Drosophila melanogaster: one gene and its partners. The protein of the gene in region 1 interacts with the protein of each later gene in a pairwise test. Each region holds a gene or a part of one and is shown in the gene's direction. Other genes may lie near its edges. The genes, in order: CG15784, CG42758 and CG30039.

Evidence for each region.
Region 2: the proteins of CG15784 (region 1) and CG42758 interact in a two-hybrid assay, tested with the Drosophila melanogaster proteins (one large-scale study listed by BioGRID).
Region 3: the proteins of CG15784 (region 1) and CG30039 interact in a two-hybrid assay, tested with the Drosophila melanogaster proteins (one large-scale study listed by BioGRID).

Annotation. Positions count from the first base shown.
Region 1 is NC_004354.4:5,427,968-5,433,137, forward strand, and holds CG15784 (uncharacterized protein), read left to right. Parts: upstream 1-1,603; 5' UTR 1,604-2,712; coding exon 2,713-4,377; 3' UTR 4,378-4,559; downstream 4,560-5,170. Other genes in the region: CG16756 (uncharacterized protein), read left to right, coding at 54-199.
Region 2 is NT_037436.4:14,565,582-14,568,683, forward strand, and holds CG42758 (uncharacterized protein), read left to right. Parts: upstream 1-1,858; 5' UTR 1,859-1,902; intron 1,903-1,965; 5' UTR 1,966-2,101; coding exon 2,102-2,476; 3' UTR 2,477-2,552; downstream 2,553-3,102.
Region 3 is NT_033778.4:12,050,430-12,053,553, reverse strand, and holds CG30039 (uncharacterized protein), read left to right. Parts: upstream 1-1,798; 5' UTR 1,799-1,926; coding exon 1,927-1,947; intron 1,948-1,999; coding exon 2,000-2,422; 3' UTR 2,423-2,577; downstream 2,578-3,124. Other genes in the region: CG44314 (uncharacterized protein), read right to left, coding at 285-578.

The DNA of each region.
Region 1 (5,170 bases):
TGCTCTGGCAAATCGTATTCTATTCAAATTTAACTAAATATAAATATTTTTAGATTTTTTGGACGAAAATTTAAGGGAGTCGGTTACTTGCGCCAAGCGCATCCAAACCTCGGATGGTTTTCGTCATTGGGCAGGATGGCAACGATATTGCCGAAACGCCCAAAATCTGCCTAATCTTAAGGTTATCTGTGGGATCTAGATGTAATTAATTTAATGATTTCAATTTGTAACAAATAAATATTATATATGTATATGCCGTGAAATAATTTCAAAAGACTAAATAGTTTCAATACCTAAGAGAGCTCTGCTTCCAAAATTAAAATTATATTATTACATTTTGATAAATTCGCGTTTACGATACAGTCGATTGTTCCGAATCCAAATCGATTTCGGAATGTGTTGAGTTTCGGGTTCAACAAAGCTTACGATCAGTTTAATACTTTAACACTCTGGCAACCCTACTCGCTCTCTATTTCTCTCCGAGTTTCGTTCATTATCAAGTGAACGAAAGCTTTAAGCTTTCTCGCCAAAAACTTTGTGGAGCAATGGAGTGGCACTATCTCGCTTACGTGGGGCTTTCATTTGGCGACATCGGCCGAACAAATCGGAGCGTTTTTTCGCAACGTGTTCACAAGATATCAAAAGTCATTGAGAATTAATAAAATATGAAAAGTCAAGAAAAGAAAAGTATATCCCAGTGCCCAGTGCCAGAGATTCCGTTCTCTTATAAAAGAATCGCATTTCATGGATATATATACATATATCCTAAACAATCCCTATGGGATGATATTGTGCCCTATTGCGATCGCCTTACATAAGTTGCCCATACCCCAACCAATATACATAAGTATATACTATGTGACTCATATTTCCCTGCCCCCCAAACGGTTCTCCAGTTTCTGAGAAACTGGAAATGCTATAAACAAGATCCAAAGATCTGATGCCTCAGTCGTTGAGCTGCGTTGTGATAAAGTTGATGCAAAAATGAAAACTCAAGTGTATACTCATTTTTTGTTTTCGTGTTCAAGTCCCAAGAGGTCCCATGAAATTTACAAACATACATAGTTGCCGAACTATGTTTACTCCCATTTTATGAATAAGTGCTCCCCTGATATGGGTTTCTCAAGAAATCTCACCAAAACACCCTGCTGCCATATTAAAATTCTGTGAATGATAATGAAATTGAAGAATAAATAAATATATTTCGTATTGTTTTCAAACAAAAAGTTCCAAATATTGCCTATAATGTGAAGTCCCATTTTGCGTATGAGAAGTGTGATGTTTTGAATACCCCTTTTTAAATCTGTGATTTCTTACGTTTTTCCGTTTACCAAATATTTATGAAATTTTTAAAACATAAATAAAAAATCATATGCGTAATCAGTATTTTCTGATTTGTGGTGAAATTCGTAAAGAAGACCTTCAAAAATATATTGATGTGTTATTGGTGCAAATATAAATGTATATAATATATATAATTTATATATAATTTTGAAATTCTACTTATCAAAAGAATCGATGTTGTGGTGATGTGCTGATCTCTATGCAATAAATTAAATAGTTTTAAGTGTATTTTTTCAATATAAATATATAAAATAAAAAAACAGCCTGTGTTGAATTTTTGTTGCATTGGAATTTAAGTTCCAATATGAAAAATGTCATTTACAGATGGATTATCTACTTAGTGCATGAGTGATAACTAATCATGGAGCATTATGAGCATATCCATCTGAGAATGTAACGAATGATCCCTGATCCCTGATCCCCGATGCCTAAATGTCCTGCAAAGTGAGTTCGGTTCCTTTTTGGGCTGTGAACTTTGCCAGGAAGACCACCAATTCCATTTTCCAGACTGTTCTTTATCCATTTCGATATTTGCAGTGTCTGGCGAAATTCAGCATAGACTTAATTTCGTTAATTTGAATCATTTGTTTAGTTTTTTCTTGTGCTGCGTTTTGTGGAGCTATTTCATCACATGACGAAACTCTTGCAAAAAATTCCCCACTGCCAAAGCTTTTTTTGAAGCGTTATTCCGGTTTTATTTAGCTTTGTTTTGTTTTGTTTTGATAATCGGAGAACGACGCAAAATCCACGTACTCGATAGCAAATTGTGAAAACAAACGCGCGCGTTGGTATTGGTGAGAGAGCAGCGAGCTACAGACGAGCCTCCCTAACGTGGACCTAGATCAACCGCACTCACGTTAGTCTCAATCAATGTGTTGCAAATAATATTATTTTTTTTTTGTTATTTAGCGCCAGTTTTTAGAATATGTTAGATGCACATTTAGATTGCAGATTTTGTTTATTTAGATACGTTTTATATTTCATGGATTGAATTTTAAGGCCAAGATTCACACACCTATAAATTTGCGAAGGGCTTTTTCTGTTGTCTATTGAAATGTTTAATTTGTATTGAGGTTCCACTGTTCCCCGTTTTTGTTCTGCGACGCATTTCAGTGCTCCACCAGTGGGGCGTTCTCACCGCTTCCTTGCCCCTTTGCCCCTTTGCCGCCTTGCCGCTCCGCTGGCGCCGCCAACCGCCGACGCCGCTGAGCGTATAAAAAGTGCCGGCCGGCAAGCGAATGGCATCAGTTTGCAAGCTTTCAGCTTTGTGGCATAGCGTATCCCAGCGAACTCTAAACCGTTAAACCAAGCAAAAAAGCAACTAGTATTACACCAGTGAAGGTAAATCGCATTGAAGATACTATCAACATGAGCGAGTTGTCCAGACTGCAGCAGCAGCAGCAGCAGGATCAGGATCGGGAGCGTGTTTCCCAAGAGCTGATCGACTGCGATATTGACTTTGTGGAGGATACGACCTCCAAGGTGGAGGAGGAGGCCAGGATGCCACCAGCCAGTTCCAAGCGATACACCAAAGCCCTGAAGAAGGTGACCAAGGTGCAGCGCATGCTGGAGCAGGCCATGATCCTGCTGGCCGAGGAGGAGGCCAGGTGTCGGCAGCAGGAGCAGGAACAGGGCACCAAAAGGACCAAGAAGCAGCTGAAGAAGAAGGCCAAGAAGGACAAGAAGAAGGCCAAGAAGCTGGCCAAGCAACAGGCCAAAAAACAGGCGGAAGAGCAGACGGCGGCTGGCGAGGAGCCCTCCAACACCTCCAGCTCCAGCTCTTCCAGCTCCAGCTCATCCAGTTCCAGCTCCTCCAGTTCGAGCTCCAGCTCCGAGGACGAAGAGGTATTCTATAACGGTTACGGCTGGATCAGCAATCCATGGCGCCGAGGACCACATGGCCATCACGGCTTCGGTCGTCGTCTTGGCCACGGTTTTGGCCACAAGCATGGTCGCAAGCATGGCCACAAACATGGTCACGGGCCGCATCATCATGGCCGACATGGACATCATGGACGGCCGCACCACCACCATCCGCATGGTCACCACTTTGGTCCCCATTTTGGACCACACTTTGGACCTCACGCTGGGCCCTCTCCCTTTGACTTCGATCGGAGATCCTTTCGCGGACCTTGGCATGATCAGTCCCAGTTTTTTCAATGGATGGGCCTGCCGTGGGCCCTGGACAATGCCGCGGCCAATCGGAGGAGCCACTCGCTGCCTAGACTATCTAGGCGCGACTGTCGTGGAGATCTCGGATTCGGATTCGGACCAGGATACGGATACGGATATGGCCAAACGCGTCCACGACATGGCCGTCGACTAGAGAGATCACTTTCCCGTTCAACATCCGGTTCGCTGGAGAGGAAGCACTGCCGCAAGCCGAGGTCCAGTTCCAGTTCCAGCTCCAGTTCTTCCTCGGAGGATGAGAAGAAGAGGCAGAAGTGCAAGGGCAAGGGAAAGGGCAAGGAGAAGAAAAGACAGCAGCGCTCCTCATCCAGCTCCTCATCGAGCTCCAGCTCCAGCTCCAGCTCCAGCTCCAGCTCCAGCTCCAGCTCCGATGGCGAAGTGCAGAAGATTCCCCATCGACGCGGGCACCACTTCGGACCTCCACATGGCCACCACCACTTTGGTCCGCGCCATGAAGGTTACCGTCCCCATCACGGCGGACACCATGGCCATCACTTTGGTCCACATCATGGTCCATTTGTCGAACATGGACATGGCCCCCAATTCGGACCATTCTTTGACGTTCCCCAAAGAGAATCCGGTGAAGGACCGCGTTTTGAGCACCAGCCCCGTCCGGAGTTTCCTATTGCCCATCATCGACCACCACCAGCTGAGTTCCCTCCAGGTCGTCGCAGTCGTTCTCTGTCCCGATCCCACTGCCGCAAGGAAAAGCAGGAGAGTTTCCCCAAAGTCGAGAGGGAGGAGCGCAAGAAGGGCAAAAAGAAGCACGGAAAACGCGCTCATGGACATGGGCATGGACATGGACATGGACATGGCCATGGACATGGACATGGACGTGATTAGGCAATCGCAGCCAGCGTTTAAGATGCATTAAGATTCCTTCAATACAACCTCCCACACATATAACCTTCAATATTACTATACATTTAACACCCAGAAGCTTCTATTCTATTATTCTATAAAAAATCATTAAAAAAACATCTAAAAAAATGAAATTAAATAAAAAAAAAACAAAACTCAAATCTATATACTTCGTATTTTTTATGGAAACTTAATTTATTTATTTTCTTCTCCACGGTACAAGTGCATTCGTTAAGCTCAACTATATAATACCCATTACTTTCTGAGTGCGATTGCAAATGACTCAATTGCATTATTAATGCAGCTGGCGGAAATGAATTAAAACTACACTTTAAACTAGATACATTACGAGTGAGTAATTACTCTATTTGTGTTGCTTAAGTTGGGGAAATGCGAATGGGGGGCTTATGGACATTACGCACCGCGATAAGATTGGTGTATTCCTGCAGAGGTTTTTCCCCAACCAAATGACAATGCAATGGCAGCGATAACAAGCTTGATAGGCTTATCAAATTATAGGTTTTTCACCTGGTTAAATATTATTGTTTTGACACTGCAAAACTCGCAAATTAACCCATTTTAGATTAATTGGTTGGGTTTATATTGTAACAACCTGTGGATGAATCGCGGACGCAGAATGTTGACTGCATTCTCTCCTTCAAGTGGGTACAGTTTGTGGTCGCAACTGTTCTCAGCTGCGGAGGGGAAAGCCTGACAATCAGAGATCCAGCATTCTTGTAATTAAATGTAATATGTCCAAATAAATACACCTTTT
Region 2 (3,102 bases), on another chromosome or scaffold:
GCCCACGTATTTTGCACTGAGGGAAAGTGGGTTGCACGCTGGGTGGTGGGAGTGGGATCTCATTCAATTAATTCGATGGGATTTGGTTTATGGTCTCATTGTGTGGAAAAATAATTCTATTGGAGGCTTTTCGGTAACCACAAACGATATAAACAGAGTTACTATGAGCAACTAAGCCAATTTTATAGAAATAGATACAACGATCATACAAATTTTTGGAAGTTTTCATTGGAGTTCATTATATATTTTTGCGTTGCTTCTTTTTATAAATTAGCAATAAAACTCATTTGGGCAAAAGTTATGCTATTTCGGAAATTCGCGTGTTGAAGATATTAGGGATTTTGGCAAAATATGCTCTTGAATTTAAATTCTATTTTACTAATTTAATTCATTCTAATAAATTTAGATTTATGTATATTTTACTTTACGCGCTCAATCGAGTTTTCATATGAACTGTAGATTTAATTTCCACCCCTCTGAACTGGTCACACCTGAGAACTTGGCCAAGTGGGTGGTGAAATCCTTCGTCCTCTGTTCCGAAAGCTGGTGGAGATTGACTGCTCCACATTAATCAGCGCATAAATTTAACGCATTATTATTTATGTGCCTCCCATCCGCGAGCATTCGCGCTTGTTTCATTTTCGAAATAGAAATTGTTTAACAAATGTCACGCGAACTGAAAGCAACCTCGACTCCTTCCATTCCCAAAAACCTGCGCAATCCTGAACAAAATAAATGGCGCTAAAATGATTCAATTACCCAAAAATGGAAAAAAAAAGAAAAGAAACACATTTTTTTTAGGGGAACAGGTGGCCTGAGCCAGGCGACAAATTCTTTGGCTAAAATTTTTAGACGTGTTTATTGGCGTGATGCAGTGAGGGGTTGGGATGTGGCACACACCTGTGAAAGTGTAATAAGCGAAAATAAGATTTTAATTGCCAACGTTTATGGGCCGCACTGAATGCCAATTTAATGTTCCAATTGCAAGCACTTTTCCTACATTTTTAGTGCTATAAACTTAAATGAATATACGGGTAAAAAGATTGCAAATAGGCTTTAATTTTAAATGCAATATTATTCAGTAATATTATTAAATATTACATACCTCTTCATGATCCATTTGGTGTTCTGCGTAGTGCCTGAAATATAGCAAACTGATGTTCTAATTGTCGTGTGGATTCATTAGTTGGTTCTATTTGATCTCCAACCACTTGCAGTGACAAAATTCGATTTCCAGCTAGAATGGCTAGTTTCGATTCCTTGTTTGTCCTGTTCCCTGTCGTCTTTGGAATGGTGCGTATCCTGAGTATCTGTGTGCTTTCGCTTTGGTTGCATCCACCGGCAGGCGAGGCTAATGCGCAATTTCCACTTACCCATCCCAATTAATTCACGCTTCGTTAGACCCAAGGGAAGGGTACCATGGGGTTATCCATTGGGCTTCTCCAGCTTTGACTTCATCCTCCTTGCTTTTTTTGGTCGGTTTACTGCACTTAATTTAATGTTGTGCTGTTGTCAACGCAAGTAAATCAAAGTTGCGACTTTTATTTATGATTTCATTTATGTGCTTTACCATTAACTAAAGTGGTCTTCCATTCGAGGGTTGTAAAGTCAGGCAAAGTGTTAAATAACCCGTTTTAGGAGTCACAAAAATTTCATACAACATGACAGTATTTTTAAAATATTAAATGATTTGTAACGATCATCAGTTGAATGATTTCGTTTAAATATTATGAAAATAAGTTTTTTTCTACGTTTTCTGTTTCAGTATTTTTAATTAGTAAACTAAAGTATTTAAATATAGTTTAGTAATTTGAAATATATTTTGACTCTCCATCAACTTATCGTTGCGAAAGTGTTCCGAAAACCCGACGAAGCTAGCTATTTTCGTTTGTGTATTTTCATGTAAGTCATAAACTTCATAATCTGCCAAAAATCTTCCGATTAGATAAGTTGATAACCACTTAGGCCTGGACAATCAGCGATGAATGTATAAGGCGAAAATATACAGTTTCTTCGGGATATCTTTTAGAATAAAAAATTGTGTATAAGCTCCGCTGTTACACTTCCTTCCACCAACGAGTCTCAAAAATATCTGTGGACCATGTGCATGCAAGTTCCACGGTTTGGATGTCGAGTTCCAGTTTCCAGTTCCCGTTGTAAGACCGGTGCAACCAGATCTTGTCGAAAGCCCGGATCTCGCTACAGAACCTTCTGCACTCCACCACCTCGCTGTAGTCCCAGATCCTGCTGCACATCCGAATCCTGCTGCAAATCCGGGTCCTGCTGCGGACCATGTGGGTCATGCTCGAATGGCTGTGCCGCCTGCTTATCCTCCTGCTGTGGGATATTCCCCGAAACCTGCTGTGGTCCGTGGTGTGAGTCCTGTCTGGATCCTTCCTGGTTCTCATGGCTGGCTCCCGATCTCGGGCGATCCTGCTGTTGTGCTTGCATGACCTGTTGTCGATCCAAGTGCTGATGAAATATGGATAGTGGAAAGTCGTTGTGAACAAATCAATTGTAAAAAAAATTCAAATTAAATTAAAAATTGAATTATTTCGTGTTGTTTGCAGCTGATTCTGAGAAGTGGGAAATATATAAAAAAAACTTCTTATTTGTGTCACCTTATCCCCTTTTTCGATAGAATTATTTAATCCTTCGCAGTATGTAAAAGATTTTATAAACTTCGTCCCTTAACCTGCCAAGTGTAACCTTAATTGAATAAGAAATACGAGAAAATGCAATGTTGATACCGCAACTGTGACGCCATATTGTAAAACTATAAAAAAAGTATGCAAGAACATTGGCATAATTCGTGCAAATCGCAAATCGTAAAAATTTCGCAAAAATTCCCGTGGCGTCGTGGAAAGAACCGCAACAAATTGGGCCAAAAGGGCAAATTAGCCAGTGCGGCATAAAAGGAAAAGCCGCATAAGGACGCACTTGCCCGGGGATCAGGGCTAATAAAAAATTATAGATTTTCATCTTTGCATATTTAACTTTTATCGCGTGGCAGTTTCGCTTCGCTTATGTGTTTTAGGCCAAATTCATGTTGGCGGCCTTCCGAGGTTGCCTTCTGTTGCGGATTTCTTTTGCGGTTTTTAT
Region 3 (3,124 bases), on another chromosome or scaffold:
AAAAAATAGCATTTCGATGCGGGGCAAACCAAAAATGTATAAAAGAAAATGGCAAACATTTTAATTAAATTAAAATAAATGTGAAATGGAAAATAATGAGAGAAAAAAAGCACTGGCATCGACCTTGCCGCCATGTAACAAGCAATTACATTTCCCCCCCTTAATGGCATACTTCATTATTTTGTGTATTTCCTGTGTAAGGATACCTACGTGCAACGGTCCTGGCCATAATTGGTTTAATGGCCAGCAAGCCTGTGCGTATTTGCACTATATCGGTTAATGGCTTAATAGCGCGGCTCTACATCAAACATGCAGTACAGTGTACAGTCGAACTGCTGCTCGACCTGCTGACATTCACCCAGTTGATCCGGCACTAGGTTGCCCTTCTCGGCGAGGCAATCGCTGATGCACTGGCTGCCCAATGGATGCGCCATCTCCCCTTGCAGCTCCTTTAAGCTGGCTGCCACATCTGCACCCTGCTGCTGCTGCTGCTGCTGCGGCGGCGGCGAAAGGTCAATCGCCTGTGCAGCCAGCAGCACCAGCAACTGCATCACGATAAACAAAACGGATAATTTCATATTTGTATTTGCCAAACCTGTCTGAATTTTCATTACTGACAGCTTGTTCACTGTCCCAGGGCTTGCTGCACTCAAGAAAAAAATGTAGTAAGTACTTAATATCCATTTAGCTGAAAAACTAAAGTTAATGTGAGTAGAAACAATATTTACCAGGTACGAAAATAATAATTCTATCATTAAGTTATGTTGTATGCTACAACCTATGTATAACATAGTAATGATAATAATAATAATAATTTAATAATTTTCTTTTCGATTTTATAAAATCCACTAATTTCGCTTGAATAATGATTCTCGTGGTGTAGGTGAGCATACCCATATCCGCAGCCATAATGACTTCCGGATGGCGAAAGCAAACATCCAAATGAGGCAATCTAAGCACCAGTTTGCGGCTGCCAGCGGCTCTAACTGCACAATTATGGACCGCCCTTGCCGCCCACAAAGCACGTTGATTTCACCACCCCCCTGCCCCCTGCACCATGCCCGTCTGGCGCAAATATGGGCAAAAGTGCCACGGGGCGCATTAGTAATGCCCATTGCGGCATCTATTACACAGCGTCTTGTTTATGTGCAACACACACACACACACGCACACTCTTGAATAAAAATCAACAGCCCGGGGCGAGTGGTTGCCACTGCAATCCCTTCCCTTCCCTTCACCGTTTCGCTAAGGACATCCTGGCCACCCGCTACCCTATCCTTGACTTTTATTTTGGGGGAAATGTGTGTAAAGTATATGTATATGTGAAAATAAAAAGGCGAGCAGCAAAAATTGTTGAGAATTATGTCCTCGTTTGGGGGAAAAGCGACTCGTTAGTAAGTCGAGCCAAGCAGGACTTCACTCGATATGTTGTTTACCCTGCCACGCCCACTTTCCGCCGCCACCGCCGCCTCTTTCTTGTGAGACGTTTGACATTTGTGCTTGGAGGACATATAGTCCTCGTTCGTTTGCGTGTGTGTGCATGCAACAAGCGTCATAGACGGTGGATTTGTGTATAAGTAAGGGGGGGTCAAATGCTTTGCAAAATAAAGTGGTGATACCTGACTTGATTTCCACCGAAATTAATCCACTGTCGAGTGTTTCGGATCGCTACAAAAGAGCATAGAGCTCAAGTTGAATTAGCAAGCTATTGGTAAACATCGAATTTTGCAGCTCTTTCTAAGATTTAGAAAGATTTGAAACAAGATATACAACGTGGCAGCCTGGAAATTCTCGATTCATGAAAACTCAGGACCCATTGAATTCTATTGTCTTACTTAAAACACTGGGAGCCCTCATTTACAAACAATCCTTTCTACGAATCACACGTTCTAACGATAAGTCGTAGATGATAAATATCACAAAACAATGAGCCAAGAAAATTTTCCGGTGAGTATTGACACATCACAAACGTACACACGAATTTCACGCAATTGAATAGCTTCCAAGTGTAGAAACACAAGCCGCAACTGATGAAGGAGGTCCTCCATTACCGCAATCACCTGAAAACGTTGAGGAAAATGTGAAAGAAACCAAAGAGGTTCAAGAGTCCCAGCGCTGCAGTAGTTCGAGGATTTTAAATCGGGAACATAAATATAAGCAGCCAGAATGCAAAGCATCGAGATCAGTGAAAAAAAGGAAAAGGGCAAGGATCCATAAACGGAAAAGCACTCTTTACGGAGATCGCGCTGTGAACTGTACCAAGTGCGGAACTGTCACGATCTATTTTCCGGCCCGCACCAAGTTTTTCTCATGTGCCGAGATAGATGGTCGATTGTTCAAGGTGAAACGGATCTCGTCCAGAAAAGTACTTGGTGGTGCTTACCGCAAGCAACCTATGAAGCGTTCGAAATTACCGTGTTAAAAATTGTTGTCTACGTTTAGGAAACAAACGTACAAAATTTACTTGAAATGAAGTCTTAAGATTTTTACTTGAACGTAATTTTCTAACTAATTGTATAACTTTTTATCTAAATTATTCGTACTAGACTTGTTAAATAAAATGCCTGACTACTGAATAATTTTCAATAAGAGTCTTTTTTTATTCAAAGGACCAAAATCGGTTCGCTCGAAGCTCAGATTGCTTTCGATTAAGTTTCCATTTCCTCTTCCGGCACTTCCTCTTAATCTGCAGGACAACATCAAAAGAATTACAAACTCAAGTGTGTGTGACAATTTCTTGGCCAGGCAGCCCACCGTAAATGCCATCATACACATCAAAAGCAGTCAAAGCGATTTTCAGTTACATTTTTAATATTTTTGGGCACTTTTCGCCCCATGATTTTTCTTTTTTCCCCTGCCAGCAGGATGAAAATCGTCGAGGGCGCAAATTAAAAGAGCAGCCAAGGAATGGGAACCGAAAAAGGGATGTGCTGTGTTAGTAGGGGATATTGAGTATGCAAAGGCCACAGGACGCTGGATTCAATTCATCAAAGCCAGGGCCACGCCCACAAAGAGACCCTTGCTGTGGGGCGCTGTCGTCACGAATTTGGGTCACCCGGGAGCTTTGAACTGTGTTAGTAGGCCATCGCAATCAGCTAGCCAGGACCTGCAAACGTCATGGTGC